Linked DNA regions of Lytechinus pictus. The protein of the gene in region 2 interacts with the protein of the main gene of each other region in a pairwise test. Links are inferred from orthologs where the notes say so. Each region holds a gene or a part of one and is shown on either strand. Other genes may lie near its edges. The genes, in order: ras-related protein Ral-A-like, ralA-binding protein 1-like and AP-2 complex subunit mu.

The links.
Region 1: the proteins of ralA-binding protein 1-like (region 2) and ras-related protein Ral-A-like interact in a two-hybrid assay, tested with the Drosophila melanogaster proteins (6 studies listed by BioGRID). The link is inferred for Lytechinus pictus from reciprocal best matches to the Drosophila melanogaster genes Rlip and Rala.
Region 3: the proteins of ralA-binding protein 1-like (region 2) and AP-2 complex subunit mu interact in a two-hybrid assay, tested with the Drosophila melanogaster proteins (2 studies listed by BioGRID). The link is inferred for Lytechinus pictus from reciprocal best matches to the Drosophila melanogaster genes Rlip and AP-2mu.

What each region holds. Positions count from the first base shown.
Region 1 is NC_087245.1:39,573,528-39,585,317, forward strand, and holds the start of ras-related protein Ral-A-like, read right to left. Parts: upstream 5,046-11,790; 5' UTR 3,062-5,045; coding exon 2,967-3,061; intron 1-2,966.
Region 2 is NC_087247.1:48,441,777-48,453,220, reverse strand, and holds the start of ralA-binding protein 1-like, read right to left. Parts: upstream 5,153-11,444; coding exon 5,140-5,152; intron 745-5,139; coding exon 541-744; intron 1-540. UniProt on the Drosophila melanogaster protein: Participates in receptor endocytosis during interphase, is also involved in mitotic processes when endocytosis is switched off.
Region 3 is NC_087258.1:28,024,164-28,035,364, reverse strand, and holds the start of AP-2 complex subunit mu, read right to left. Parts: upstream 5,528-11,201; 5' UTR 5,415-5,527; intron 1-5,414.

The DNA.
Region 1 (11,790 bases), on a different chromosome or scaffold from region 2:
CTCGAGCATTCAAGGAATTACTTCCTACCAGGTACCCATTTACTACACCTGGGTGGAGAGTGGCAAATGTAGATAAACGCCTTGCCAAAGGACCCGAGTGCTGCGGTGGGATTTGAACCCCGGACCTTGTGGTTCAAAGTCCAGAGAATTATCCCCTGAGCTACAACACCTCTACACCAACTAATAATGCAGTGAACGCAGAAGCCATAATACCGAAAATGATGAGCAAGATAAATTGATCGTGATACATGTATACTATTACGGTATATTTATTTGCAAGCAAATTTACATGGTATCTGAAGTCACGAAACAGGTCAGCTTTGATGTAATAGATCAGGGAAATGCAGCCTACGAGTAATCAGTTGTTTCTCCTTTTTATATAATCATATGCACATACCCAATCAATCTAATTACATGTACTCAAAATCAATGACAAATTTGAACCGATACGCATACGTTAATTGCCCTAATATGCACCAAATTAATGCACAAACAGAATATTACTCAAAAGACACTGGTGGCATAATTTGTGCGGCTACATCATGTACATGTATATGTACCTCACTCGCCTCCCCACATGCTGTAATGAATGTATTAGCGAAAAAGAAATGATAAATTACTACCTCTATATACCGGTAGGTATTGGGGCCGCATATCCTCCCTGCATTTACATGTCCCACATTTAGGCCATAGTGAATGGAGAATTAAGAGAAAATATGTATTTAAGTACTTTAGCCCTAAAAAGGCTGGGGGCATACATGTACAAACCCTTTTGGGCTATGGCATGAACAGATCTTTACTTCTTTATAATTGATAATTTTTTATGGTCCTAAATTTACAATAGGTGGTTTCAAACCGCCTCGATCACAAGAATCCCCGTTAAATTACGAGAACTTTTTTAGGCTGAAAAATACCCATTAATTATTCCTGCATTCACACCGCCCTGAAACATACTCTTCGGGATAAGTTCCTGAAGTTACGAGCATGCGCAGTATGGTCTGATAAGCAGCAAGGCGCGAAATTCAAAATCACTAGCCCAGCAGCAGCCCATGCACGGCGCCGCACCCAACGACGCGCTGGGCTAAAAGTTCCCGTAATTTGCTTTCAGACCGCCAAAATACCCACGACCTTGGAAAAATCCCCGCGAAAGTTCTCGTAATTTCGCCAAGTACCTACTATTTATCGGGTATTTTCTTTCGGGGATATTACGCGTAGTTTGCTTTCACACCGCCAAAATACCTGGTATTTTCTGATCGGGGTAAATTTCCCGATCAGAGAATACCTGGAACTGGCGAACTTCGAGGCGGTCTGAAACCACCTAATGTGTCTCCACAGAAAGAGAAAGGGGGAATTATGTGCCGGAATACGTGCTACAAATACAAGGGAATAAAAACAGATATATCCCCGCCCGCCCAACAGCCCGGAGGAAAGATTTACAAATTAGCTGCAAGAGAAGCTAAATATAGCAAAAACTAAAACCCTTGGGGGAAAAATAATCTGAGCATTAATCAAGCATGAATGCTCCGGACCTATTACATTTCCCTCATGCCCACCGGGCACCAACTGCTTGCCAAAGCTTATTCTTTCCATCTATACATCATGTATAAATGCATGTTATCGACGAAGGCCAACCACATCACAATGATGGTGGAAAACTATCAAATCCATACAGTGGCATTGATTATAATCGACTCCACGATCACAAATAAATATATCCAATTCATTTGCATGAAAATTGGAATGAAATTTGTCTTGCGTTTCAGTAGCATCCACGACAAGGCAGACCCATTTTCTGTCAACTCGTATTTTGACTTCACAAGCATTGCTGCAAACAATATTGCTTTTGGTGCATGGGTATTGTCCAGAAGTTGAAATTAGATCAGTCTTCTTCCACATTGATGCTACAATGTCTCTTTTACAATTGTCATTAACCTCAAGACTTATCCTTGAGGTTTTTTTTTCAATGGTCTCCTTTTGAGAAAATGCTCTTCAATTATAGGCTTTCAGCTAAACATAAGATCCATTCTATAACTTGCAAAGCAATGGAAGATTTTAAATAAGATTTAAAGGTTTAAAAAGCCACCACCTTTTCAATGAATTTTTAATTCATTGACTCATTATCAAACAAAAACATCAAGACAGCTTCCGCAAGTGGAGCAAATCTCATATCTAAAATTAAACCAAACTGTAAGAGATGGGGTGTCAATAAAGACATCCAAGTACAGAAATCATATCTAGCGATTGAGCACTAGCTCAATCTACAATGCTCTTTCTTGCTTCTCTCCCAGGGAGGGGGGGGGGCAGTCAAATATATTGCTGTACACATGCATGACCCCCCCCCCAAAAAAAAGATGTTTAAAGGGGTGTTTTTCAGTTTTGGACACGGGCCGCATGTGCACTCGTTAAGGGTATCAAAAACACAGATTTAGAAGAAAAAAAGGGTGCACTGAAAGACTGGTCAATGATCAATCGCGGGGTCAAACGTATTTAGGGTATATTTTCCAAAGCTTTTTCTTTTTAAGACTAGCCAAACATGTTTAGGGTATGTTTTTTTCCCTGGGGTTATACTCTGGCGACAACTTGTTTGGCGCCAAAATGTGTAAATAAAGCCCGTGAAAAACTTGTTTAGGGGGTTATTTTGCACACAGAGAAAAACTTGTTGAGGTGTTTGGAAATAATATGGTCATGCATGTGTACAGCAATATATTTGACCCCCCCCCCCCCCCCCGGGGCTTCTCTGCCAATTTAAGCTCATGAACATGTAACTTTAACCATCCAATGGAAGGTCACGGGGAATCCTTTATTTTGATTGGCTGTTGAGCATCGTTACCATGGTAGTAACAACTGGATGGCAAATTCAGCATGACAGAAACAATTATGCAGCAGGTGGCGCAGAACTCATCACCAGTAAATCTTTTAAAAAATGCATAATCCTATCATGATGTTACAAGAACGATTGGACATACTCTGTGAGTGGTTGATCAGTCACGCCCTGCATGCAAGGAAGTATCTCAAGACATCGCAGATGGCCATCAACACGGTCCTCCTCTGAACTGCTCATCGTGAGATTCAAAGACAACCAAAGTCGCTACACACGAATCAAATTTTCCACAAAGTTAGTGAAGTCCCTGAAGGACTACTAAAGAGTGTCCTGGGCTGGATGACTGTTGAAATGAGAGTCCAAAAAAAAGGGCATGTGACCGAGAATTCCTCAAAGATAAGGCCAGAGGTTCCAAGAGGAGTTCCTCAAAGATCAAGTGAGATTTTACAATATGACTGAGATCTTGTAGCCTGCTTCCTTCTGCTTTATAAATATACAATGTTGTATACTAATAGTTCCGAAAAGTTCAAGTTCAGTTACATGTTCCAAATCAAAATGACTATTAAAAAGTATTTGCGCTGTAATTATTATCCTGTTGTATTGATAATTAGACACATAGAGCAGAGACAGAACTTTCACACCATATTCTGTGACAGAAGTGACTACTCTTCCCACACTATAAGCTGGAACACTGCAATCGGAGATAGACAGAACCTTAAAATCTGGAGCTTTGTGTAAATTCCGGTGCAAACGCTACAAGCAATTCATAACCCATCAGGAATGGTATCCAAGTTTTAAAGAAATATCCAATGATACTAACCAAAGAAAGATGTATATCAAGAGAAGAATACATGTGTATCCATCCCTTCCTTGTCAAGGTTTAAAGAGAGATGACTGCACTTTCTCTCTCGCTGCTGACTGCAGTGAAGCTTTGAGCATGTCGGATAACATTCACACAACACACTTTACACAGTCATTCTGGCGTGACAATTCGTCTGGGTGTCCTGCTAATTATGGAACATTGTGATCATCCCAAGTGATGACGGGGTCAGGATGACAAGATGACACAACTGTTCCCCATGAAGTAGGTTCCTTTATATTGCACACCTGAAGCTTTCAATCTATTCGGCAATCTATATGCTGATAAAAATCATTGACTTTGAGGAACTCCAACAAATTGGATGTCACTCAGTTGGCAAACCAAAGATGTTTCTAATTTCACAATGTGTAGATTTTCATCAGGAATACAAAAAAATATGACCAAGGATTATCAAGTCAGATGAAGTGCACATTACGAAATGCATTCCATCATGTTTGCTGATTTTAATCCTTTACTATCCACGATCGTTTGACATAACCATTGTGTGAGTTCAAGTGCTAGGTTCTAAGAATCCACATCAGCCTTCATACATGTAGTTGTCCAACATACATGTAGTTTTACTCCGCACATGCATTCAATGTTCTGTCAAGAATGTTCTAGAAGGAAACGCATTCCTGTATGCATCATTTCAATCTTATACCCTCTGAAACAAAATAATCGTTCAAGATCAGTAAAGGTCTAACGATGTGCCAACAGCAAATAAAAACCTTTCGTTGATGATATCGACACACGTGAAGCAAATGTCCAAGGCAAAGTGTGTTTTTTTTCAAGCACAAAGCTCCTGCTACTGTATTATAAGATGTTGGAGATACTAGGCAAGCATCGATAGGCCTGACACACAGCTATCCACACCCTGTTTGCTAAGCAAGGCTTGTGATCGACGAGAAACGATCGCCGAGAATCCAATGATTCATGAGGAGAGCTCCTTGCTGTTAGCAGGTATATCAATAAAATATACACAAGAATGCCTGGATTCACATAAATTATTCTTTGCACATCCTCAAGCAATATCGAGCCAGAGTCACAAGACAATTTCAATACACCTGGAAACTTGTATTTTCAAAAAGGTCACAGATTCAAGCATCTATCATCGGTGATTACGAACCATTACTGATGAAATGTATGGTTGGCACAACATACGATGACTCATTTAAAGCACTGCACATGAAACTATGAGACATTTTGCTGAATGAAACGTCATCGGCCCGTAAAATCATCCCAAATCTCTACAGAACTCCTATGGAAATCCCCTTTCCAAGATGCAGTGTTCGTGAAGCGAATCCAACAGCTAGAGTTGGGAGTAAATGATGTGTACATAATGTGCAATAATGCACTGCTCCGAACAACACGATAAGTGTTAATAATCACGATGATAATTCATTCAAAATGTCACCAGCATATATTGCCCCATCTGTTGCCTATACCCTTTGGTGATGTAAGCATTCAAGAAAAAGAATTGTGATCGATCAAACCAGGTTGGGTTGAAACTCTACCTCAGGCATGGATTAGAATCTGATCTGGAGTGATCGTAAGTGTTGTAATCCTTCATCATTATGTTCAGCATATCCCGAGTCGGCATTGATTATGCTGATGTTTCACAAAGGGGGTGGGTGTTCAAGAAAAACATGGATGGGCTGGCTATCATGAGTTGATTGCTGTTCGTGATGTTTCTTGTAATAATAATGATAATAATAATATACAGTTCTTGTATAGCGCATATCACAATCATGAATAATGTCTCTATGCACTTCCAAAGGACTTGGATATTATTATTACCCCAGCTGTAGCTTGGCAGCCGTAATTACTGAGATTACAGCGCACACGCATTTCAAGGAATAAATTCCTGCCAGGCCGGTACCAATTCACCTCACCCGGGTCGAGTGCAGCACTATGTGGATACATTTCTTGCCGAAGGAAATTACGCCATGGCTGGGATTCGAACCCATGACCCTCTGTTTCAAAGTCCTGAGACTAATCCACTGGGCCACAACGCTCCACACTTGTAACCATTTAAAGATAAATTCCAGTTTTGGTAACGATCTAAAAATGACTTTTTACAGAATCTAATATAATGACCACCTAAGTGTCTGTTTGTATGAATAAAAAATATGTGCCAAAGGATTCTGGAAGAAATTGTGTGATTGCTGAGAAATAAGCAAAATAAGCGCGGATTCGGTCACTTCCGTCGGGTCTTTATTTTAGCAATAATAATACACTGTCCCACGTGTGCCTATCTGTGTTGGTGATCTTCAGTGTGAACATTTTTCAGCGTAGATTTCAAGATTTCACAAAGTTCAGTTTATGTAACTGTACCAGATCTAGATCCTCGATGATATACTGACAATTAAGCCTTGTTTTACAGACTTTCTCATGAAATCAGTGTTTACTGCAACTACTGGAATTTCTCTTTAAGCATTCTAATCTGTTCACCATCAAAGTGGGGGGGGGGGGGAGGAGGGCACTGTCATTTAAAGATGGACACCATGCTCGTCCACAAAATCATAAAAAAATGGCGGTTTTGTATAAATAACGAGACAGGAACGAGGGACAACACATTGTATGATCTTTCCATGTTTTATTTTTTTTATTTACATGTAGATAGAAACCTTAGATTTTTTTATCTAAATAAAGCTCCTCCCTTAATCAATATCACCTCCCCTCCCTCCTTTTTAAAGGGTTGTTGGTAGAATGGTACTAGACTGACATTGGTACATTTTGTATGAAAATTCTGAATAGTATTTCAAAGAGGCTTTTTGTTTCAATTTCACTTGAATTCGTTATTATACCGATTTCATATGGAAGCTTGAATTCATAACAGATCTCCCTTACATCAAAAATACTTTTTTTTTCAATAATACTTCAAAAACAAACATGGTCTTATTTTTGTTCACGCTGCTTTTCTCAATAGCAGCCAATTGCCACGCCCCACTAGAGATTATCAGAATACATGTAGCAGCATATATACCAAACTATGAAAGCAAAATTGAAAGTATACAGCTACATTTACATTGATCATTGAATATCATACATCACAATCGTTTCCAAAAATATCTTTGCTACATTTCAAGCACATGACAGGATAAGATTCTTTGCAATTTTTTTTGTTGTTGCAAAGGTTACCAAAGATATAACTGCTCAAGCAGACGCAACGAGGTAGACAGTCGAGGGCTCATATCAACCAGCGGGATGATTAAATTAAAAGATGAGGAGGGAATATTCCCAGGAGAAAAGAAATATAGACCCAAGTATTAATCTGGGAAAACTTGAATGATTAGGTGGTTTCAAACCGCCTCCATAATAAGAATCCCCGTCAAATTACGAGAACATTTTTAGGCTAAAAATACCCATTTATTATTCCTGCATTCGCACCGCCCTGAAACGTACACTTCGGGATATGTTCCTGAAGTTACGAGCATGCGCAGTATGGTCTGATAAGCAGGCAAGGCACGAGATTCAAATCACTAGCTCAGCAGCCACCCACGGCGCCCGCGCCCAACTACACGCTGGGCTAAGAGTTCCCGTAAATTGCTTTCACATTGCCAAAATACCTGCGACCTTGGAAAAATCCCAGCTAAAGTTCTCGTTATTTTGACAAGTACCTAATATTTAGTGGGTATTTTCTTTCGGGGAGATTGAGCGTAATTTGCTTTCACATTGCCAATATTACCTGGTATTTTCTGATCAGGGTAAATTTCCTGATCAGAAAATACCTGGAACTGACGAACTTCGAGGTGGTCTGAAACCACCTATTGTTAGATATATACATGTATGGGAGAGTGAATAATAAGAGAGCAAGACAACTTTTTATGATGAATTGATTTGAATCTATAAAGAATATGCATAAACTGACGCAATATACATGAATTCATTGCTGTGGCCTGCCAGAGTGAGGCGGGTGGATTATGAAGAACAAGGGGTACATTGACAAAAAACAACAACAACAGAAGCGTTATAAACAGCACCACCCGTATTTACAAAGGACCACTTCAAACATTTTACATGAGATATCATTCATGTCTTAATACAGCTAAAGCATGGGTAATAATAATAGCAGGGCCCGCTGGGAGAACAGGTTTCAGAACTGAAGTGGCTTCCCTGGGTAAATGTACCTTACACATATCATTATTATTATTATCATCCACTGGTGCAATGATTAGTTTATTAAGACAAAAGGTGTTGTGTGTTCAAAGCCCATGATTAACACCTTGGTTTTACAGTACATACATGTACATGTAGCTATTATAAATCATGTAAACATAGGATAGGCTTACATGTACATCAAGTGAATGGTGTCCCAAACTCACATGAAATAGCCACAAACATTCACATGTTTTTACTGCAACATATGCAAGCACCCAAGTTGCAAAAACATAGAACTTGGCAAACACCTTCAAATTGTTTAAAATTTGTATTGAAATTGATTTAACATTTCTTGACAAAATCATGAGGATTTCTTTAATGCAAGATTTCAGGCTCAAGGTCCCAGTAACATAAAGCACGATTGATCATGGGGTTTGAATAGTGTTGTACACTGCAAAAAACTCTGGTGTTGATTGAACACCAGCCCGGAATCTATATATGTCCACACCAGAGAAGTGTTAAACAACACCAGTTTCGTTTTTGTCTAACACCAGATTAGTATTAAAACTGGTGTTGTTTCAATACTTCTCTGGAGTGGACATATATAGATTCCGAGCTGGTGTTAAATCAACACCAAAGTTTTTGCAGTGTGTCATCAATTGTAAAATATATCTGCATCACAATCAATTGATAAGCTGTATGTTGTTACAGGGTCCTGATGATGTTTAATACAACGGTGTTTCTACCAAGCACTCATCTCTCATTAGGGGATTTTCAAGTACTCTAGAATGATGAGCCCAAGAGATCAACTATGATGGATGTGTTTATATTTACTATCATTCACCCCCTTAAACATTCAAAGTATTTTGGAGAATGGACAGACACGCACAGTAGGCATATCTGCACTCTGGTATCTATAGGAATGTTTGATTTGTGTTTATTCATGCAGTTTCTCTCTCTGTCTGTGCCATAATGGTGTTCATCAGGTGATGTGAGGTACAACACAGCTTTCACAGCAAATTGGGAAATAATCAAATACACTTTTATGCTTTTCACACTGCACTTTTTTCCCTTAACCCCAGGAAATTGGTGGGGCTAAGGGGGGGCCTTAGCCCCACCAATTTCCCGGGGTTAAGCTTAGCCCACTTCGTTTTCACACTACGTTTTAGCAAAGTGGGCTAGCACGGTAAATAGTACGTACTATCTGGCCCTGCAAAAAAGCAGGGTTAGCTGGCTTATTGTGGTGCTAGCACCACAATTGCGGTGCTAAGATATGCAGTGTGAAACGAAACTGGGCTAAGGAAACGTGGGGCTAAGCAATAGCCAATCACAGAAGTCGAAATAGCACGTTAATCACGCTCTGTATGGTAAAATCATCAATATTCATGAGCTGTGGGATAGTCCGGGGTTAAGGCTTTAACCCCGGCTAAGCAGATAGTATGGGGTTAAGAAAGACAGTGTGAATCCCCAAAAAGATAGTATGGGGTTAAGGATAGTCCGGGGTTAAGGATTGTATGGGGTTAAGGAAATGCAATGTGAAAAGCATATTTAAGCTATTATTGGTGTACAATTAGGGACAAATCGGTTGTTTAGGGATTTATTCAACAACCGGAAACTCCTTTAATGAAAGAGCAGCTATGGAGGTTATTAAGTTAAAGGCAGCATTTGAGAGAGTATTCTCAACGTTTTGAGTTACGGTACTTCTGGATAAAGAAACATCACAAACTAGTAACCTAATTTTTTACATCCAATAACATCTTGCTTGTTTACTGTACATGTACTTCGAGGGTCTAGAGCAAGATGGCATGAACATACGCATTGATTTTGGCTACTTTGGGAACATTCACAATCATTTTCAACACCTATTTTTTCAGATTCTTTCATTTTTTTTGTCGTGATTATAAAATAATTTACTGTTACCAAGTAACATGTAAGGAGCTCTAATACTTTATATGATCTTTATACAGCTCTCTCTCTCTCCATATTGGTGAAACACTATTTTCTATAAAAATGGGTATGTGATACATGTAGTCCCACTCATGCATTTCTCTGCAATTCATTGTGAATACATCATTTTCAGTTCAGTGGGTCACAGGTAAGCGGATAGAGTAGAAGATGAGATCGATTGAAGTTCCCTCCCTCGCACCTGCATCTTTGCAATGAAACGCTACCCTTAGGAAAACACAGGTTGACTCAAAATGGGGTTCGGTGAACTTTTGGCCCAGGCACAAAGTCAATACCACACTCCCTTTAACCAATGTATTGTCAAGGGGTAGTTTTGCTGTTAGATATTCTATAGGCTGGTGCTTTCTCTGGATGTGAGAGGGTTAAGAATGATAGCATCGATCTTTTAAATGAGTTCTGAAGCGGGATATGCAATTTACAAAATTGGAAAAGTTGAGTTACGCCAACTCCTGAATAGCAGATAGACAGTGAACCCATGCATTACTTCAAGGGTTCTGCCTTTTTTTTCTTCTTTTTCTTAATTCCTCCCATCCCTTTCCTGTATAAAAAAAGCTTTAAATACTTTATATGAAATGGGTAAAATTGTCAAATGAAATGCACATAGGATGCAAACCTAAAGTGATCAATCTCACTATTGCATATAATCATGATACACTTTTCTTGATACCCTTATCACAATATGCAGCTGAATACATTACAATTTTACGGGTTTTTTTCTTGGGGGGAGGAGGATTCACCTCCAGCCCCCCCAAAAAAAATCAATGTTTCAGAAGCAAAGTAACCAGCTAGTAAACAGCAAAATGCACGAAACTGATTGTATTCTACTTATAAACCATGTCTTCCGAATTGTTTATTCGGCTTTGATATGGCATCTTTTGTGATGATGAAATAAACCCTTTAATAGTTCATCTAATTATGCTTTGATTATAGTGAAAGCCTTGAAAAAAAGATACTACAACCTACTGCACCCCCTCCTCCCCAAAACTGAAACACCTCTAAGAAAATCGTAATCACTTTATATCAGTTAGTTTCTCACAAAAAGCAGCTCACTACTAATAGTAGATTACCATCAGCGTCAAGTTCAAACCTACATTAGGAGAGAACTATCTATTAGCCCCATCACAGCTTCATACTACTACAAACCAAAGAAATCAAGATTGAAGAGGCATGCAATGCAAAAGGTAAATGCCATGTTTGTGTTCCATGGCACATGTTTATCAACATGCATTTGTCTGATGATGCTCCATTCACACAACAGAAAACTAAGTTACAAACACAGTAGAGAACAGTATGCAGGTACATGTACGTACCACATGGCAAGGTATATACATATATATATATATTGCAATTTTCTATCGATGTAAACATGAATAGACAATCCCCCCCCCCCTCCATTCTTTCCACGATGTAATACTGGTACACAGACAACTTTTCATGTGAAGATTTAAAAGGACAAGTCCACCCACAACAAAAGTTATTTGAATTAAAAGAGAAAAATCAAACAAGCATAACAGTGAAAATTTGATCAAAATCTGATGTAAAATAAGAAAGTTATGACATTTTAAAATTTCGGTTGATTTCACAAAACAGTTATATGCACATCCTGGTCAGTATGCAAATGAGGAGACTGATGATGTCATTCACTCACTATTTCTTTTGTATTTTATTATATGAAATATTCTAATTTGCTCCTCAGTGTCAAGTGAAATACGATGAATTCCTCCCTGAAGATGTGGTATTAGCATTGTTAAATACTATATGGTTCAGTCAAGTTGGTCCTACATGTAATTGTCAAATTTGTAATAAATGAAATATTGTATAATTCGAACAATAAAAAACAAAAGAAATGGTGAGTGAAGAACATCGACTTTTTCATTTGCATATCACAGAATTGTGCATATCACTGTTTTGTGAAAAATAAGCGAAACTTTAAAATGTCATAACTTTCTTATTTCACATCCGATTTTGATGAAATTTCAACGTTATGCTTGTTTGATTTTTCTCTATTTATCCAAATCAACATTTTTCTGGGGTGGACTTGACC
Region 2 (11,444 bases):
AAACAAAATGTTCACAACTGATTGCATCGGGCACATTCAGTTGTGAAATGTATCAGTTTTTACACTTTGTGTTTATGGAACCCTGGGCCTTGTTTCAGCTACTAACTACCATCATAAACTGGCGAAATCATTGTATCTTACTGGCTAAACGTAAAACTGTCTGATAAATTTTTATCATTAAAAAAGTCATTTTTTCTTTCTTTATTTACATAAATTCATCTTGAATATCAAGCACTTGCTTTAAAGGTGAAATGTAATATTGGGGATGTTTAGCAAAAGTGAATCTCACTATGACTTTGGCCTACAAGCAGGAATCTGGCTCTGCATTTATTCTCTACATATATTTCTACTTTCTCTACTCATTTCTACAAAGACACAATGATGGGGGAACAGGATAGTCAATTACAGAATCCTAAATAAAGCAAAGCCTAAAAAAGTATGGAGACTGTTCATATTAAAGCTCGCTCTCAAACAGATAATGATATTCATCTTCTCAATTTACATAATCTGTTCCCTCCCAATCATGTCTTGCCAACGTACCTGCAGAATGTTCAAATACTGGGGTAAATCTTGAAGTCAAGATTGTGTCCGGCAGTTCTCTGAGATACAATTTAAAGAGACTAGTGACAACGGTGGGATCATGGTCCCTCAGGTTCACTTTCTCGTCATTGTTGTACTGGGCCTTCAAAGCCTCCACCTTTGATTTCACACCAGAAAGACGGTAGATCCCGGCTGTTGCTAACCCTGTGCAAATAACAAATAAAAAGAAAAAATAGATCTGACATGATTCCATACCGTAAGTAACGGTGTATTAACCGCACCTTTTTCTCGGCGGGACAGAATCAAAAGTCGGGGGTGCGGTTTATACACGGTGACAGGTCTGAGCCAAGCCAATCTCAGCCCGATACCACTACCAGTTTTCAACTCGCGTCGGGTGGCCGAGCGTAGCCGCTTGGGGCAATCCCGTTTAGAGGGGTATGAGCCGCGGGTATAAAAGGGAAGCAACTATGACTACCGGTATCTGCCGTAAATGTCCCTCAAAGTTATATCACGGTAACAAACGCACCTACCTTCATGAAACTGACTTTTTTTAATGGTGTGACTCTGTCTTTGTTGTCATTTTTTAGTCATCGCGGCAAAGTTCAGACGCCAATCGATCGCACAGCGCGGTGCAGCTAGCCGAATAAGACATGCATGTGTAATGTTTATCGCAACGTCAACGTAAGCTGGCGCTTTACCTTTCCGTGGAAGTTATTTTGTTTGACAAATTATTGGTATTATTTGACAATTAATTTCTTTCATTTGCCTTTCCTTCATTTCTCTCTATCATCCATCATCTCAAAATCAATCTTTAATCCCCATCTTCACTCCTTCCGACTTTTTATTTTTAATTATTATTCACTTTATTCCCGCCCAGAGCTCCCATTGAAAATACGGTATACCGGTACTAGCATTTTTTTTCCTATTTTGCTGTCTGTAAGACACCGCCACACACGTACTGAGAACTACCGGTAGTGGTTCAAAGCAGACAAGAAAAACACCTGAACAAAATCGCAAATTTCTCGTATCTTGAACCTTCCCGTATTCCCTTGTCTAAAATTCATGTCAAGACATTGAATGCTAGACAGAATTCTGAAAGCAAAAGTGGGGCTGTGATGCAGGAAATATGATATGAACGATCTTCTCGTATGGGTGAGCCCCCATGTTGATGCTGGTATCGGTACTTGCAATGAACACCGGTACCATATGTGTGTGTGTGAGGTGACTCGGAGTGTGGAACTGGCCAATAATATCGGCAACTTGCAGATAAGTGACGAAGCGCTGATTTCCCATCATTTTTTACCAGTAATTCTTCGATATTTTTTGGTTCTTGACTCTTTCTTAAATACGCATATTAGAGATAGAAAGTAAGTTTGATTAAATTTTTTTTTTAATGATTTTTTTTTTTTTTAATGATTTTTTTTTTTTTTTTTTTTTCCATCCGAAAATGGGGGGTGCGGTTAATACACGGGTGCGGTTAATACACCGTTACTTACGGTATATATTTGCTAGTTCCTAGGGTTATAAGGTTTCAAAATTCTTTGTGGATAGAAACTTACATGTAAAACATAATGAATCACTTCATTTTCTTCCATTCAAAGAATTACTTTTTCAAAAATAATTCATTTGATATTTATGACAAATATTAAAGCTCATGCAAAGTGCTGGAAGTAAAAAGAATTATCAACCGGAAAATGATTAAAAGTAAATATGAAGATCTGTATGCGATAAGCTGACTTTTCATTCATAATTTCTGGGGATTTTAAGAAATTTGTGCAATAGAAAGGCCGTTGTGTTGCTTCTGACTAGCTATAAATAAGTAATTCTATAACAAATTCTTGAAATGACTTGGGCATTTAAATAAAATCATCAAAGATTACAATAATGGTATTGCTACAGTCAGCAAACAATACTAAATCTCCAATCTTGCTATTTCATGTCTTCATGAAATCCAAAGATGTAAGAGATATCCTCCATTGATTCCTTCCTTGAGTCTAGATGGCTTATCTTCTAAACTAAAGCCTTGTATTTATGTTCATGGCTGCTTTATGATGAAACTCAGACGGATAGAGGAAAGAGGTTTACTTCCAATTCGTCTAATGCCAGTTCATCCAATTGCCAACTCGTCTACTATCATTTTGTCTACCATCAGTTTGTCCACTCACCACATAAGTCTACTTTCATTTAGTCTAATGCCATTCCATCTAATATCTAGTTGGTCCAATAGCCATTTAGTCCATATACCATTTGGTCTAATTGGACTAAGTGTGAATTGTGCACAATGAATGAGAATGAAATTGATATTAGACCAACTGGTTATGAGACGAAATGGTTATAGACGAAATGGTGATTAGACGAAGTGATGATTGGACCAAATGGTTATTGGACTAAATGGTTGTTAGACGAAATGTTGATGGACGGGATGGCATTAGATCGAATGAAAGTAGACCATGTGGTCAGTGGACCGGTTGGCAGTAGACAAACTGGCAATTTACCTAGGAAAGACTCCCTTAAAGGACAAGTCCACCCCAACAAAAATTTGATTTGAATAAAAGGAGAAAAATCCCACAAGGAAAACACCGAAAATTTCATCAAAATCGGATGTAAAATAAAAAAGTTATAACATTTTAAAGTTTCGCTCAATTTCACAAAACAATTATATGCACATCCTGGTTGGTATGCAAATTGGCACACTGATGACATCACCCACTCACTACTTCTTTTGTATTTTATTATATGAAATATGAAAAGTTCTAATTTTCTCCTCATTGTCATGTGAAACAAAATTTGATTCCTCCCTGAACATGTGGAATTACCATTATTGTATCAGTTTATGGTTATCAAGTTGGTCCTTATTGTCAAATCTGTAAATATGGAAATATTGTATAATTCAAACAATAAAAAACAAAAGAAATAGTGAGTGAAGGACATCATCGACTCTCTCATTTGCATATTGCTGAGTTGGGCATTTAAAGGGGAAGTTCACCCTGAAGAAAACTTGGTTGTAAAAATAGCAGAAAAAATAGTCAAAAACATTGGTGAAGGTTTGAGGAAAATCCGTTAAAGAGTAAGAAAGTTATTAGAGTTCAAAGTTTGGATTTGTGACGTCATAAACGAGCAGCTGCCCCATGTGTTATGTAATATAAAATGCATGAATTTCAAATTTTATATGGTTCCTGATGACTTAATTTTGTTTTCTATTCATGATCGGGTGTGGAATGATTTGTCTATTGATATACAACAGGTACAGTGAAAACCATTTTCAATTTTCTGAGAAAATGACATTTCATTGATTTTTTACCATTCGCTATGTAGGAATGCTGCTCGCATATGACGTCACAAATCAAATAATTGAAATTCTAATAACTTTTTAATTATTTGAATTTTTCTCAAAACTTCGGCAATATTTTTTATTATTTTTTCTGCTATTTTTACAATAAACTTTTTGTCAGGGTGAACTTCCCCTTTAACTGTTTTGTGAAAAATAAGCGAAATAAAAAATGTCATAACTTTCTTAAATTACATCCGATTTCGATGAAATTTGCAGCGTTATGTTAGTTTGATTTTTCTCTATTGATTCAAATCATCAATTTTCTTGGGTGGACTTGACCTTTGAATAGATGAAGACAAACTTACAAGTATAATATACATGATTTGTGTGACAAAAATAAGAGCTCCCGCACAGATATTTATATAATATTGACTGGCCTTGAGGGGAACATCAAATATGTCGCCCGCAACAGAATCATATTGGCCTGAGTCTTTAGACGAGGCCAATATGGTTCTTTTAAGGGTGATATATTTGATGTTTCCCGAAAGAAGAGCCAGTCAATATTATTATTATTACCTGAGGCTGTACAATGTGTAATTCAAGCTACTATTTGGAACAATTTATATGCCTGATTGCTCATCACTATTTCTGATTTCAGGTTATTCACGACTTTAGCGAAGTAACCCTTAATAAGCAATTGTGACGTAATTGTTACATTGCAGTCGTGCATCATGCATGGCGCACATACACTCAACGCGTAGAAATCTTGCGCTTGGGTTACGTTTGTGTATGCACTGGCCGCGCCGCGCATTATCAACAATGTGTTTGTTCATTAACTGGTTCCAGCCAGATTTCTCAAATACTGAAACTAGCGATCAAAATCGGCTCCTACAGTGCAAGCACACTAGCAGAAATATGGCCAATATTGCCCTCTGTTTTTGTACAGGATTCCTATGGGCAAAGAGGAGGGCAACATGGCAAATGTTCACCACGTCGGTCTCGGATTGAAAGTAGCGAGCGAAATATGACTTTTATTGATCTGCTAAAATACCTTGCATAGGTACTAATGTTCTTTGTTTCATGCCAAAATATTACTTCTTTCTGTCTACATAATTTGTGCATTCAAACAACTTGACCTGAGTTCCTGACTAACAGTAATTTGCATAATTTTCTTGGAGATTTGAAGTGTTTCACATGTACATTCAGTTTTCACTATTCCAACAATTCAGTTTGATTCCTTATTTTGATTTTCCTGAAAAATATCATATGATTTTAATAAACCTTTTTTCTCATGTACATACACAATAATTACTAGACATCCTTTATACCATGGACCTCCATGTTTATACTATCAAGTAGCTCTTTTGCAAAGTGTGAAGAAAATCAAGATCAATGAAATAACATCATAAACAAAAATAAATAAATATTGCGCATATAACATTGTATATTGATACTTCAATCCAGATTATAACTTAAAGATTCAATGACTCATGAAATGGAAAGTATTTTTGTTTTTGTGACAAACTTCCTTATTTTCATCTTTGATATATCTCAATAATGAATCATATTTCACCAGTCTAGCAAGTAAACGGAAGCTTATGAAGGCCTATGTAGCTTGAATTACAAGAGAGAGGCCAAAGTGGACAGCTTTGAGATGCTGTGATCAAAAAGTCAGTTTGCATCTTAATTCTTATTTCCTACATTACATGGCCTTCAAATAATTAGCTTGCAGACAAGTTAGTCAACACCTAATTTTAATTGATAAAAAGGGGTACAATCGTTACAGTATATAAAATGAATGACAAATATTTATATGTTTCAGCACACTGAAACATTGAATATTCAAACTAGGGAAGAATAAACAAACAAAATGTAAATAACTCCCAATTACTTAACACATAAAAAAAAAAACTTAATAAATACTAAAAAATATAAATGAAAGATATTAAAACTATTTAATGATTAAAAGAATAAAATACAGAATGAATAAAAAGTAAATGAAACAAACATTAAAATGATGATGAAAAAATATCAAAGATCAATTCAAGAAGATGAAAATATGAAAGTAATAGAACTTTGAGTTTATTCATATTGAAACACAACATTCTTCTTTAGGATGTGTTTGGTAATGAAACATGTGACAGCTTTTTATGCCCTGATGTGCCCATTTGATATACTGAACAATGACTAACAATGATGGCCTCATTAAAACTTAATGCACATTGTGTAGGTCGGACTATATGTAAGCCATAAAATACATGTAGTAAACAAAAAAAATAGCCTTGCTAATTATGCTATATGATTGGCATGGTAAAAAGAGCCTTCATGTAAAGGGCATGCAGGCCTATACATAAACAATACTACATGTACACATCAGTACAATGCATTGGTTGAGTTATAGATGTTAGGGTTATTAATTGGTTGGAAACTAATTGAAAGTTAACTTGTAATGGGGTATATGGAACATAAAGTTACGGTGAAATAACATTGTCTTCAATGGGATGAATGTTACAAACATGAAATTACATGCCATATATCAATAATGAACACTATTGTAAAAAAAAATGAAATAAACTAAAACTAAGCATCATAATCAAGGAATTCTGATTTACGATCATTTTTTCTGATGTTTCTCAAATTATGTTTGTAATTGTACATGTAGTTTGTATCAGTATAAACAGGGTGTAATTTGAAATAGCCCTGTACTATTTTTCTCCCATGTCATGTCATGATATTGCACACACAAACTGCCTGTTTTCTTCTCATGAAATCTGCAAGGAATGGAAATATTGCAAATAATTATTCATTGCCTCGGGGGGGGGGGGGGGGAATATACCTCTATGTCCAATATCTACTGCCACCCTCAACAATAGATGGCAGCAGCTGACAAGTGTGTATAATTGCTAAGGAAGTTGTTAATAATATCATAAAGAACCTCCAGCATTTCTTCTAGGAGAATGAAGAAATTACCTCGCCTCAAATTATGACTGCCACCACTCTCTCAAATGAACAGGTGTCTCGAGGAAAATCAAATTATCATCAAATTGATTTGTATAATTTTGGCTATCACTGAATTACATGTAGTGAAGTTTCTTGAAATGTACATGACCACATTTTAAAAATTCTTCATGTTCAGTATCAGATTTCAAAACCCTAGTGGAAAATAAATGAGGGATGGCACACTGTCAGTTGCATTGATTAGGAAAACAGAAAATGGTGTAACTGTATGCACATTTGTCAAATTATTGCAATCAAACTACAGTTCAGGATCCCCCCCCCCCCATTTTCAGGGAACATTAAATGAAGAAGTGAAGTACTGCAGTAACCTGCAATTTCTATTCTAGAAATATTTCAGTGTGTCTTCCTAAATCTAAATTGCCGTAAAATTAGTCTTATTATTACTTCTGCTGTAGAATGAATGTTTGGTCGTGCTTTGTAGTATCACTTGGAGTTGGAGACTTCCACAAAAATAATATTACAAACATCCAAAATTTGACCTTGATTTCATTTTGAGTAATGAATGACCTCAATTAAACATGTGTAACTTATAGGAAACACCGAATCGCAGCCTCATATCATATGGTGATGAGTCAGAAATAAAAAGTACAGCTTCATATCTGGAAAAAAGCCACAAATCTGAGTTTAATTAAACAAGAAATACAGCAAAGATAAATGAGAATGGAGATATACATGTACAGGAAAAGAGAGAGAGAGAGGGGGGGTGAAGGAAAAGGATATGGTTGAAGAGGTCAAGCAAAAAACAGGAGAAAATAAAAGGGCAAGAAAGGAAAGAGGGGAACAGAGTAAGAGAGAGACTTAAAGATTGAATACCAAAAACTGAGTGACACAACTCTGGTGTGTATTTGACTTTTGAGTCAACAAAGTTGTCTGACTGATTTGAATTGTCATGTCCCAGTTAAGGCTATATTTGGATTTCCCCTTTAAAGTCTACAAGCATTTTGGGATTAACAGGAAATCTTGAAAATTTCAAAGGAACAGACGATTGGGGCATCCATCATCTCCACCCTCCTGAAACTTATACAGTTTACTAAATCTTTTTTTCCAAAAGACACTCTGAAAATTAGGTATTAGTACATCTTAAAAAAATAATCAATGATGTAGAATACACCTGTTATGCATTAGAATCATGACCTCATTTGTGTTTTGTTCCTTAGCTAGAAAAGGGAAATTGTCTTCTCTCTTCTGTTTACGGTTTATTTTCAATTCGTCTAATGCCAGTTCATCCAATTGCCAACTCGTCTACTATCATTTTGTCTACCATCAGTTCGTCCACTCACCACATAAGTCTACTTTCATTTAGTCTAATGCCATTCCATCTAATATCTAGTTGGTCCAATAGCCATTTAGTCCATATACCATTTGGTCTAATTGAACTAAGTATAAATTGTGCAAAATGAATGAAAATGAAATGGATATTAGGAGACAAAATGGTGATTAGACGAAGTGATGATTGGACCAAATGGTTGTTAAATGAAATGTTGGACGGAATGGCAGTAGAATAAATGAATGTAGTTGGCAATAGACGAATTGGAAATTACCGTTTGTCACCATATCTTTATACTTGTATATTTATGTCTGTCACCCTCCCCCCCCCCCCCCTCTTTCTCCCTTTTCCGTCTACCACTCTCTTTCCCCCGCCCACTCTGTAATAACTATTGATATTGTTTTCATCAAAGCTTAAAGGGATGACAAAGTATCACAAAAATATTGTATTAATGATAGAATTATCATACTAAATCCAGTATTTTCAGTATTAAAACATTAGTAATGCGCGCAGTCGTTGGCCCTTTTGAACGATGAGTTAACACTTCAGTTTTCAGAATTTTTTTTGTTCTTTTCACTCCCCCCCATCATTAACATGATCTTCCTCCTCTTCATTCACTCTTTGTTCCTGTTCATAATGTGTTGATTGCCAATTTACTGACTAGATTTTTCCTCTTGTCAGACATGGTAATTATTTTCATTCTTAAAGCTGTCAATATTTTCATCTTCCTTCACACTTACATCGCTATTCAAGAGACAGTAAAAACAGAACTTTGCTTAAACTAGGCTTTGGTCGGAATGGACAGAATACCGGAATCCGTCCAATGTGCACGGGTTCCAGTATTGTTTTTTCCATTCCGGTATTCCGATAAAACAATGTAATACATAACAAATTATAGAGTATGTTTTATTAAGTCTTACCAATCATAACCTAGGTTTCTTTGTTACATTTCAGGTGACCATCGAGAAAAATCTGAGAAAACGGGAAAAAACCTGCCGATGTTTATGTGGCCATCTTGTTCTCTTTGTTAGTAGCTAAGGTACAAGATGCATATAGAGGGCAGCAGACTCTACATGCGTCTCGTAGCTTTGCTTTTAACAAAGAGAACAAGATGGCCACGTAAACATTGGCAAGTTTTTTCCTGTCTTTTCATAATATTTTTCTTGTTTGTTTTAAATGAATGTTTGTTTAAAAATGAAATGAATTCATGAACGGGGAAGTACAAAGAAGTCACAGATTATACATTATTGATTTCATATAATGAAATCAATATTGTATAATCCGTGACTTCTTTGTACTTCCCCGCTCGTGAATTCATTTATCAGGATACCGGACCAGCACAACACCGGCAGACTCCGAAACAAAAAAATTCAGACAGTCTTGGACATCTTCACCTCAAGACCATTGTGTGTGCCAAATTTCATGAGAATTGGTTAAAAAACTGAGGAAGTAGTTTGATGCGCAAGATTTTCACCTTATTTTTGCCATAATATGCTATTACCATGGCAACACAATTTCCGACTCATACGAAAAATGTGTCTTGCACATCTTTACCCAAAACCAACATGTGTGAGAACTGGTTTAAACTGAGGAAGTAGTTCAAACTGAGGAAGTAGTTCATGTGCAAGATTTGCAACGGACCGACCAACCATACAGATTCCTATATACACTGTACATGTACATGTACCCCCTTCAAACTTTGTTTGTCGGGGTATAGAAATGCGGTTTTATGACATTTGCTCCTGCGACAATTACTCCTACTGTAAATGCACACACATAGGCCCGAATTCACAAAGGTGGTTTTGAAAACCTACTGTTGAGTCCATGTCTTATGCAGATTTCCTGTATAAATTATGCTTATTTTACCGCGTATATTAAAGAATGTCCAATGCTGATGCGCGCTTTTGTCACAGTGCGCAAAATTGACGCTTGTTGCCGTGGTTATCCACGCTAGTTTATTCATGAGTCCACTCTTCAAACAGTGGACTCATTAATAAAATAGCGTATCTAACCATGGTAACAGGCGTCAATTTGGCGCACTGTGACAAAAGCGCGCATTAGCATTGGAATTTTTAATACACGCGCTAAATTAAGCGTAATTTATACAGGGAATCTGCATAAACCATGGATTCAACCGTGGGTTTTCAAAACCACTTTGTTAATTCGGGCCATTAAGTCAACATAAACCCAAGCTTTGAATCCAACCTGAACCTGAATCCCAATCATAATCTGATTCTGAACCAAAAACTTATCACAATTCTAATCCTACCCTTATATCTATAAATTAGTGGAGAAACAATTGTCAGGAGAACAATTGTCTCATTATCAAAAATGCAACAAGTATCCTTGATTTGATATCTTTAAACATCTTTTGTCATTCAATAAAAACATGTACAGTAGTTCAATGACCATTTCAATATGCCCTTTTAACTATGTACATGTACATCGTAATTGACTGATGGCGAGAAACGATATTTGATTTGTGTGACACATCTGTGTGCAGATAACCGATGAAACTGATAATACAGTCCATGATATGAACTTCTGAAATACAATTAACCTTGCTGGCCCTGGGATCTGAATTTAATCCCTAAAATCAGCCCTGCCTACTTTTTGAGGTTACCAGCTGGTTGTTATTCTACTTTCTATACTATCACAAATAAACACTGTAGTTTGGTGACACAAATTTTCAATCCATAAATATAACTGTTAATCAAGCACTCAATGTATTTACGCACAGCGGCACCGGCAGTGTGCATTGATACATTGCCAATAGCATATGCAAGCCGTTACTTTACAGGTTACATGTTAATAATTAATGTATTTTATTAATCACTCTAATGTTAGCATTTCTCCTTTTTTGATTAGTGGTTTCATTTTATACTCTCTTTATGTTTGTAACTATTTGTTCTGCTTATTTACATATTTATAACAGATACATGCAGTGTACCTAAAATATATTGCCAATTCAAGAATTTACAAATCCATTAAAAAAACACCAGGTTCATAAATACCATCCCATCCCAGTCATACAAAAGAAAGAAGGAATCAAATAATCCAATCAATATTCATGATATTTCATCTTACAGGCAGTATATTTATTCATTTAGTCATTTACGTTCGACAACATGCCTGTTCATGGTCAATCCATGCTTACCGGTATTTTTATTTTATAATACTTTGATCAAACCGACTAATTTTAATATTCTGCAATCACCCAAATACTTCCTGATGAAACTTGTTTTGATATTCTTTACCTTTTGTGCATTATTCCAAATTAGACGCTATGATAATGGAAACTTTTGAATTTGAAATTTGAAAGCTGATATTGATTTTGAACAAAAAAAA
Region 3 (11,201 bases), on a different chromosome or scaffold from region 2:
GAGACTTCAAATATGCCGTATTGGTGAAGTCATAAAGATGAAAGGCAAGGACTACTCTGCCTTCTCTCAACCAACATTTTATAACTAAGGCTGCATTCCAAAATACACCAAGATAAATATAAAAGACTCAAAAGGAAAACTAAAAAGATTACAACACCACTGTGATCTCTTGGCATTGTGGCGTGCGCCTGTAGCCCAAGATACATATGGAAGATACAAACTGATGGAGAGTTTTGAGCCCTTGTCATGTCTATCAGATGGTGAAACAAAGCCAGGTCGGTCCCAGTGCTTCATGCGTGGTGTAATTCTAAAAATATCAGCAAGCGCTTGGCGCTCTCATTAGATGGCTATGGTGAGATATGTATGCTCTTTGTGAATTCATAAAAAATAGTCCCTAAAAGTCAAGTCCACACCCAATTTTTTTTTATTAGAATCAATAGAGAAAAATCAAACAAGCATAATGCTGAAAATTTCATCATAATCGGATGTAAAATAAAAAATTATTATATTTTAAAGTTTCACAAAATGGTTACGTGTATATGCACATCACAGTGATATGCAAATGAGAGGTGATGATGTCCCTCATTATTTCTTTTGTTTTTTGTTTGAATTATACAAAATTTCATTTTTTATAGATTCGACAATAAGGACCAACTTGACTGAACCATAAAATGCTAAAACAATGGTAATTCCACATGTTCAGTGAGGAGAAAACTGTTTTACAGGACAATGAGGAGCAAATAAGAATATTGGAAAAAGTTTCATATGCACCCCCCACCAAAAATAACAAGACTTCCGATTTGTTCACTTCAGATTTTTCTATCATTTTTTAAATGTTGCTTACCTTAGTTGGGACTCGAACTCACCTCATTTAATCTGCAGTCAAGACCTCTTCCCACTTTGCTAGCGAGAAGCGCTGATACCGGAATGGGAATTTTAACAATTATCAGCCGATAGTTCAATTAGTCTGGACTCACAGACCCTTTACTGACTAAATAAACCAATGTCTATGGACATTCTGTCAAATTTGACAGAATAAAGCCATATTTTGGTATGTATTTCCACTCCCCCATCATATATGTTCTATAATAGGGCTACATATATTATTCTAAACCTTATCCATGTTTTTATTTCCAATTTTAGTGGGGAGTGCATATGGGACTCTTATATATCATATTTCATATAATAAAATACATAATAGTAAGTGGGTAACGTCATCAGTCCCCTCATTTGCATACCGACCAGGATGTGAATATATTTTTTTTAATGAATTAAGCGAAACTTGAAAATGTCATAACTTTCTTATTTTACATCTAATTTTGATGAAATTTTCAGCATTATGCTTGTTTGATTTTTCTTTTATTCAAATCAACGTTTTGTTGGGGTGGACTTGTCCTTTAATAATCATCTCTCATTGAAATACATCTGTAAAAACCTCACAACACACACTGCATATCCCGATATGCGTGCTGTAGCCTTGGCGAAAAACAAAGAAAACCAGATGGCGACGTAAACATCGTGGCAAGTTTTCCCCATCTTTTCATTTTTATGATATTATTCGACCGATGCAAGTATTTCACGATTCATGATATTTATCGGCCGATGCAATTTATTTTTTAATTTAAATTGGCAGCTACATGTATACACGCGTGTGGTTTCTAGGTATCGATAACAAAGACATCAAGATGGCGACAAAAAAAGACTGGATAAGTCAACGCTCGTGCTCTTAATTATTTTTCATATTTACTACTATCTATTGAATAAAATATACAAACATATTAAATTTGGGGGGTAAATATTGTTTTGGCCCATGTACGTTAGTTTGGGCTCAAAATCCAAAGCAAAACGTGTGATTTAGGTCTAGTTTCACCATGGGAAAACCTACGGTGTGTAGAGACCAATGGCTAACCGAACCCACCCATGGGTTCATATCATCTCGCATGCGAAGGAATATCAGTCATATGCACGCGACACACACGACACATCCAAAATATACTGGGCTTTTGCCCACATAAAATATCACGCATAATCTGGTATTTCACATTCTGCTATGACACTTACCGAATCATTTAGATCCTTCCGTGACTTCTCCTTGAAGTTTCTTTTAAAAAATGTGTATGTTTTCTTGATCTTTAGTGAAGATTTCACGGAGATACAAATTGGTCAGCGTGGATATCAATTTTCGCCTAAAGAGGGCGCGCGATTTATATTCATATCAAAGACACGACAAGGGAAAGACTAGGCACCTACACTATTTTACACGCAAATCTACGCAAGGCATTACGCGAAGTCCGTGAAGTGTCCAATCTTTTCATTGTATAGACTTTGGTATACCGTATTATTGACGTTCGTTAAAGCTTGTACTGCTGGTTTCGTTCCAGGCATGTGTATTTTTTTCAATTTTTTTTATTAGTCATCGTTGTAAATTAATTGCAAAAAGTGTTATCATCGCCATTAGTAATCTTGAATTATGTTTTTGAAGGTATTTCATTTATTGGTGCCCATAATTAGTAAATTAATCATAAGAATTGCGCATCCAAAGAATTTAGACACAGTTATAAAATTACCAAGGAGCTGAATCAAGGTTGTGAAATTTATTAGCGCCACCAACGGGCTTCCTTGTATTTCCGTAGAAGAGACAAACGAAGTCACTTGCTAGGCCGAGATAAGCGAAATTTGCTCTTTTTGTAATGAAATTATTTCCAAATCGTATGTATAATTTTTTTATGTATTGCTACTTACCGAAAAGAGCCCCGGTGCGTAGCGAGAAGGAGTTTCGGCAAATATTACTTCAGCAATGAAGTGATGTTTGCCGACTACTTCGAAATCTAGGGTCAAACACGGTCCCTTGTACGAGGTTAGTGTATATACTAACCTCGTATTAGTGTGAGTGAACCGAACCAGGCTTCATGGAGAGTACATGTAAGCCTACGTACAGTAGGCCTAGATACTTTTTTACTCTCCAGAACTTGGCCTCCAGCCTCCACTGCTCCAGCTCAGGCGAAGTATGCACACGTTAGTGAATAATTTTTACTCTCTAGTCTCTAGGAGCCTTCTGGCTAATTCTAAAAACAGAGTTAGCCCTTGTTGTAAGTAGGGGGGAAAATACGCATTTCGCACTGCATCGTAATCCAGGGGCCTGTTACATGAAAGGGTCTTTCGTAGAACCATTCTACGTAAGAACGAGATATCGCTCAACTGTTTCACAAAGCCGATTTGGGCGATACGAAGAATGGTCCTTGGAAAGACACCTCCAGACATGTCCTACGTAGGCATGATCTTCTTTGCACACCGCCCGCCACCGTCGGCATTGAGAGAAAATTCGTTTACGGCAACCCACACTGACATATCACCTTTAAACATTTTTTGGGGTTGCACACTGATGCATTTTATCTGGGATGGTGCCAAGTTATTTTTTATATGGGGGCTAGTTGTCATCGATTTCAGGTCGTCTTTTTGCACGGCAAGATGACCAAAAACAGATGTCATTTTAACTTCTCCGGGCATTATGTCCGGGGTAATGTAGGCCCAAATATTTTTTTTAATATGTTTTCTTTTATTCTCCGTCCTATATCCCCACACCATTTCCATTAAATTTTTTTTTGAAATATCGAAATGGGCGGCACTATCTCTCTGACCCCTCATGCTTTCTCATTATAGATAATTAAACAACATGAAAACAAAAGAAATTATGTAAGGTAAAAAAAACGTGTTCATAACATTCAGCAAAAAAAAAACGATACAAAACTAAAATGTTAAACATGGTAAATCATTCATTTATTTTTATTTCATTTTCATTATAATAATATTTTTTGCTGAGATTAATTCTAATCAATGAAAATTAATTGTCGGATTTGGGCTAACTTGACTGTGAAACAGTGAAACAAAGCAAAAAATCAGCAGTAACAAAATAGCTAATTGAATTTAAGATACAGATTAGGCATTTAGCTTACGAGTCCATCACAATTATTACAAATGAAGATAAGCTAGTTCATTAAAGAAAAGATTATGGAAAGTCCATACGAAGAGGCACTTTTTAAATCGTAGGGTAGGCCCTTTCGGCCCCTATGTAATGTTAAAGCAATAATGTAGACTCTACTCCTCAACTTTGAAATGTTGAACATATAAAATTTTTATAGTTAAACCTTATATTCTTATATAAGCTTCCATAAACTTTGAAATATCAACTTTAAAGATGACCAACGTTTATGATCATTGTAATATTTAGCATTATTTCTGTAAATAGTATTTTTTCCATTGCAGATTGCACACCTTTTCTATGTTTTAATTGTTATTGCAAAGCACTCCATGCACTTGGACATGTTTGCAGCAATTTTCATATTTTCCTTGTCTTCGGTTACTCATCATGCAACCGAGGTATGTTTATACTCTAAACACTCACATTTGTATTTCTTGCGTTATATCTGACAAATAAAATAAATAAATTAGATTTTTCACAGCCACAGGCAGCCTCTCATATTTTTCTTTTTAGTCTCATACAATCAGACACTGTTGATTTTGTTTACTCCATTCAAACCCTATTTTTACCTCAACGGATAACATATTAACGCATAATTTGCAAAATCATCATTATACATAATATGTACCGTACTACCGGTATTCTATAAAGAATCAGTAGGCCTAGGCCTATATTGAACTAATAAAATGTCGAAATTACTTAGTTAAATAAATTTTTAGGTCGGACAAGGGTCTCTTTCGTTGAAATATCAACGAAAGGTGTCTCTAAAAGGACACCGTGTTCTACATAAGGGAAATAATGAAAATTTCGATTTTATCCAGTTATGTTTGTGAATCTTGAAAGTTTTTTCTCTTTTTACCCCATAAAGATTAAAGTACGCTCCATACATCAATTCTACAATCAGTAATAAATAAAACATTATTGATCCCCTTTTATTGAAATATATGATTTTATAAAAAGTCGTCATTCCGAAATAAAAGGTTCAGGTGACGATGAAGACTAAATATTTTTCCGATACTATCGATATCAAACGATGTCGCGGACTTGAAAGACAAAATTGCCTTCGTGAAACGGCAAGCGCTGATTTGTCGCCAATCTTCCTATCTTGGGAGAATGGTCCTAGGACGTTCCTACGTATCGCTCATCTCGTCATGCAACAGGCCCCAGATCCAAATATGATTCAACTACCCTGAAATACACATTACAATTCTTCCGCGTACGGTATTCATTCTGCCACAGACAGTGCCAGAATTATGCGGACGGGCACGGTACAGAGAACAGAAAGTTACTCAATTGTAAATTCAGCAAATTCTTTTCCAAATAACACACTTTAATACATATCATACATTAACAGGAATGTTGGGATACGTTTCACTAAACAAGAAAATAAATATAAATAAGTCAAAATTGTGTTTTAAAAGAAGAACACACCCACCTTTCTACCTTCACACGGCCCGGCTCTGTATCAATTCCTGTATAATGCATGCAATTAAGGCAGCGGAAGTACAGTTGGGCGGATCATGCAGTTGACATAAAATGGTCATAGATGGCGCTAAAAGAACGATCATCGTAGGTACATTGGCTCCTCAAAGAATAATGATATGAGCAGATATTTCTTTTATTCATAAAGAAAAAATAAAAATAAAAATAGATTTTAATTCGTCATGAGGACGAATTAGGTGGTCTGTCATCATTCTCCATAGAGCTAAGTAATTTCGAATAAATATCTCTATAATCATAATCATCACCATCATTATCATTATCACTAACATTATCACCCCATTATCACTTACATTAATCATGCTTTACTCATCCTTAATTTTGCCTTATTTAAACTACAGGATTCTTATTTGGGGTACCCATCAATATTTATCAGATAAATTGTTACTTTTGCAAAAGAAAGCACTTCGTATTATTTACAGTACAGCTTTCCGTTCTCATAGGGACCCACTTTTTCTAGAAAGTAAACTGTTGAAAGTCAAAGACCTGCATTTACTACAGTTAGGGCACTTCATGTATATAATAATAATACACTTCCCCATATTTTTTATGCCATGTTCCTACCCCACGAAAGTAAAGTCATTAAAGTAAGAAATTGATAATTTTTTTAATTTTTAGGCTATGGCAGCCATTTTGGACGCCATCTTCCCTGGTCTGCCTATATATTCACTCTAACCTGTATATCAATAGATCTTTTTATCCCTTTAGAACATGAAATATGCACCGAAATTGGATGTCTAGTGTGGATAGTGAGTGAATTATGTCAATTTTCTGTGAATGGCGGCCATTTTGGACACCATCTTGGATTACGGAAAACCCTCAAGGAGGATTTATGAGGACTTTTAGTATGGTATTCTATATAGACATATTCCCGGACCTATCCTGAAAAAATCAGCTTTTTACCAAAAATTTCCATGCTGTTGGCCTAAAAGTTATTTTTGTCTAGATAAACAAAAGTTCGTCTGATCAAACCCAATAGCCTGTTGGCCTTTTCTATATTCGATTGCATGTGCTCTTCAAAGCTGAGTTTATCATCAATTACAACATCCAATTAAGTCCCTTTCGGGGGTTACATGTTCAAGCGCATCATTAAAAAAAGTGTATACAAAAGCTTCCTGTCGGTCCTGCGTGTTACCAATAGAGAGTACACTACATTTCTTGGGGTTGAATTTCAGCAGCCATTTTTCTGACCAGCATTTCAGATGATCAAGATCTCTCTGGAGTGAATTGCATGTCATTCTGATCTCTTATATACTTGTTACACTCTTATTACTGAATTACATTACTTCCAGTAACAACATCTGGGAGATCATTGATATATAAAAAAAAATAACACAGGTCCAAGGACACTCCCTTGCGGAATTCCGCTATCTACATGTCCCCAACTTGAGAACTCGCCATTCACACACACTCTCTGTCTCCTTCCAACAAGAAATGCCTCAATCCATCTAACCACCTGTTCATTTATACCAAAACTACGGACCTTTTCAAGCAGTCGACGGTGAGGTACCTTGTCAAAGGCCTTCATAAAATCTAAATAAATCACATCGATATTGTACCCCTTTCTTCAAGAGCTTGAGACCACTCATCAACAACATTAAGCAACTGCATGAAGCATAGTAGAACGACCAGGCAATAAGCTCCAAAACTCACTATGAGCTCCAAAACTTTTTGAAACGGTACAGTTAGTCTTTCAGCTGTCTTACAGGAAATTCGTCTTTTGATGGTCTTTCAAAATGTAATTTATTTAGATTTTATGAAGGCCTTTGACAAGGTACCTCACCGTCGACTGCGATGAACTTTCAAAGTTCTTATTAGTCTTTCCATGATCTTTCGACAGTCTCTCAAGATTTTTGCGGAGATCACCGTAAGACTCATGAGAGATCATTGAAAGACCAGGCAAAGTCCATGGAAAGAATTCTGAAAGATCACTGCATAAAAGATCTCTGAAAGACCATTAAAATATCTCGATCTATAGGACTAGTCAAAGCCCAATAAGACAAGAAGTACCAATCAGTTTTTAGGAGTTCTTTGAGGGGTCTTTCTGAGCCATTCCAAAGGTCTTTCAAAGGTCCCCTTTCTGTGGAATGGGGGCCTTAATAAAAATGAAAAATAAAGACAATATTTCAGAAAGAGTAATCCCTCAGCTACATCATATCGAAGATTTGGCGAAAACTGACCAATATTTACAGAGTTAGAGTCATATTTGCATAATTATGATGACGTCATAACACGCAAAATTGAAATTTTTAGTACTGACGTCATTTTTATGACGTCATGATATAATTGATGATCGAATGAGACATGAAATCATATCTGTGATTTATACTCCATCAAAATAGAAAAAAGGGTCCCCATTTGTTTTGAAGAAATATATACAGTGAATTTTCAAAAAGCATGTTTTTGGCCATATGGCCTATGGTTAGAGGTTAGAGCTCGCGCGCACGCGTGCTGCAAACTTTAATGGGTGCTCATTCCTTTATTAGTGGTCGTAGAGAGTTGATTGAGGTATAAAATTGCTTGGAATTAAATCATTAATGCATTAATGATTAATGATTATATGTTACGTAATGCCGTGACGTACGAAAATGCGCGCGCAAAATTTTGAAATGCCTAAAACGTACTCAAAATTAATAATAGTCGATTTTTAGCATTTTTAAATTTCGATGCGCGCGTCATGACCTTTGATGACATGTATAGTTGACCCTTGGCCTAAAGTTTATTTTTGTAAATATGATAGATTATTAATGATCCATTATGATGATATGATAAATTTTAAATAATGTTACAAAATGGCGCCTATATGACGTCATCATGAGGCCTGATGACCTTGAAAAGCTTACTATCGCGTGTCTATGATAGCCTGGGCAGCATTTAATTGAAGGACTGGTTTATCACAGTAACAGCGATTCTATAGCCAATCAAGGAAATTTGTGAGGACTTAAAGAACAAGTCCACTCCTACAAAAACTTGATTTGAATAAAAAGAGAAAAATCCAACAAGCATAACACTGAAAATTTCATCAACTGATCAAAATCGGATGTAAAATAAGAAAGTTATGACGTTTAAAGTTTCGCTTAATTTCATAAAACAGTTATATGCACATCCTGGTTGGTATGCAAATGAGGAGACTGATGACATCATCCACTCACTATTTCTTTTGTATTTTATTATAAGAAATATGAAATATTCTAATTTTCTCCTCATTGTCAAGTGAAACAGTGATTAATTCCTCCCTGAACATGTGGAATTAGCATTGTTTAATAATATATGATTCAGTTAAGTCGGTCCCTATGGTAAAATCTGTAAAAAAATGAAATATTGTATAATTCAAACAATAAAAAAAAAAAGAAATAGTGAGTGATGGACATCATCGACTGTCTCATTTGCATGTCACTGAGTTGTGCATATCACTGTTTTGTAAAAAAAATAAGCGAAACTTTAAAATGCCATAACTTTCTTATTTTACATCCGATTTTGATGAAATTTTCAGTGTTATGCTAGTTTGATTTTTATCTATTTATTCAAATCAACATTTTGTTGGGATGGACTTGACCTTTAAATATGGCATGACATTCAATAAAATTGGCATGACCGATTTTGAGAAAACTTGGCGAAAAACATTGCTGCAAAAAAAAAAAAAAAATAGGAAAGCCAGTATCATCTCAGACCTTCCCATCCCACACAGAAGACATTATTTTGGTTGTTGTGGCGCTGGTGATCAATGATAATGATAGGTAGAGGTAAGATGTTTCTACATTTAAGGAAATGGGAAAATCTGAATTAAAAGAATATATAGGGAGAGTGAGGCAAAGGTATATATACAACGAGAGACAAAACCACAAAAAAAAATACAAAAAAATAAATAAATACGGAGAATTGTAGTCCCTTCCATGTAGAGTATAGGCATAAAAAAAGGGGGGAGGGTGCTCCTAACCTGGGGACAGGGGGGGGGGGGGTTGGGAGGTAGAACAACACTTTTTATATTTTTTTTCTCTCTTATCATTCATACATCTTGTTAATATTTCATTTTGTAATTGCTGAAACGCATTAGTATTAATTTCTAGTATCTTTGAAGTTTGATGTATAATTTGTATAATTATATTGTTATGGATTTATTGTATAATTTATAATCATGTTTCAAATAGTTTGTACAACTTGCTTATGGAATGTGAATGTTTATTTTGATTTGAGAGAATACAATAAAACATCCTTTAAAAAAAATTATGAAATTAAAAGGAAATTTAAAGAAGAGGAATGGGAAGAAAGAAGGCTGGCTTTAGGTAGAGGCAAGATGTCTCTACATTTAAGGAAATGGGAAAATCTAAATTAAAGGAATATATAGGGAGAGTGAGGCAGAGGTATATAAACAGCGAGAGACAAGACCACAAAAACACAGAAAAAAACAAGAACAATACGGAGAATTGGAGTCCCTTCCATGTAGAGTAGGCATAAAGTGGAGGGCGCTCCTTACCTGGGGACGGGGGGGGGGGGGGTGGGAGGTAGAATAAATCTTTTTTAATCATTTTTTTCTCTTGTCATTTAATACATCTTGTTAATATTTCATTTTGTAATTGCTGAAACGCATCAGTATTAATTTCCGGTATCTTTGAACACTGTAAAAACTGTGGTGTTAAAACTGACACCAGTTGGTGTTAATAGAGGACCACACCCTGAGGTGTTAAAATTACACCCTAGAGATTGAACATGACACCAAAGAGTGTAAATGTAACATCCCAAGGTGTTGTAATAACACCTATGGGTGTTAAAATAACACCGTCAATTTAACACCGGTGTAAAATAAAGTGGTGTGGTCCTCTATGTACACCGGTTAACACCACAGTTTTTGCTGTGAAGTTTGATGTATAATTTGTATAATTATATGGGTTATGGATTTATTGTATAATTGATAATCATGTTTCAAATAATGTGTAAAACTTGCTTATGGAATGTGAATGTGTATTTCATTACTTGCCTCATTATCTAAAATTCTCGAAAAACTTATACATACACGTACAAGTAAGTTCTTTAATAAACATAATATCTTTTCACAATTTGGGTTTCGCGAAAATCATAGCACTTTACTTGCAATTCTGTCTTTTATTGATAAAATCACTACTTCCATAGATAAAGGTTTTCATACTGTTGGTATTTTCCTGGACTTCTCCAAGGCCTTCGATACCATTAACCACGAAATACTTCTTTATAAACTTTCCTTTTATGGTATTAGGGGGAAGGCCTTGGAGTGGTTCAGGAGTTACCTAACAGATAGGTCTCAATTCGTATCATTTAACAACGTTATTTCTTCTACTCTTCCTATCACAGGCGCGTAGCCAGGGGGGGGGCGGTGGGGGCGGTCGCCCCCCCCCAAAACGTCCCCAAAAAGAAAAAAAAAGAAGGGAAAAAAGAGAGGAGAAAAAGGAAAAGCGAAGGAAGGAAAGGAAAGAAAGGTAGCTTTGTGGGTTTTTCCTTTTAATCTTTATTTTTTTCTCAAAACAGAAACTCCTTCACTCTTGCTCTAAATCTATATATATGAATTTTGCTTCCGCGCTGCGCGCGGTTAAATGACAATATTGCAGTTCTCCTTTGTTTCCCTCACCCTTTCTCTAACCCTGTTTTTCCATCTCAGCTATATGTGTTTCTTGCCAGTTAAAGTTCAAATATATACCGTATGGGTACTAGTATTCAACCCGGCATAATTCAAAGATTTTGACATATTCCC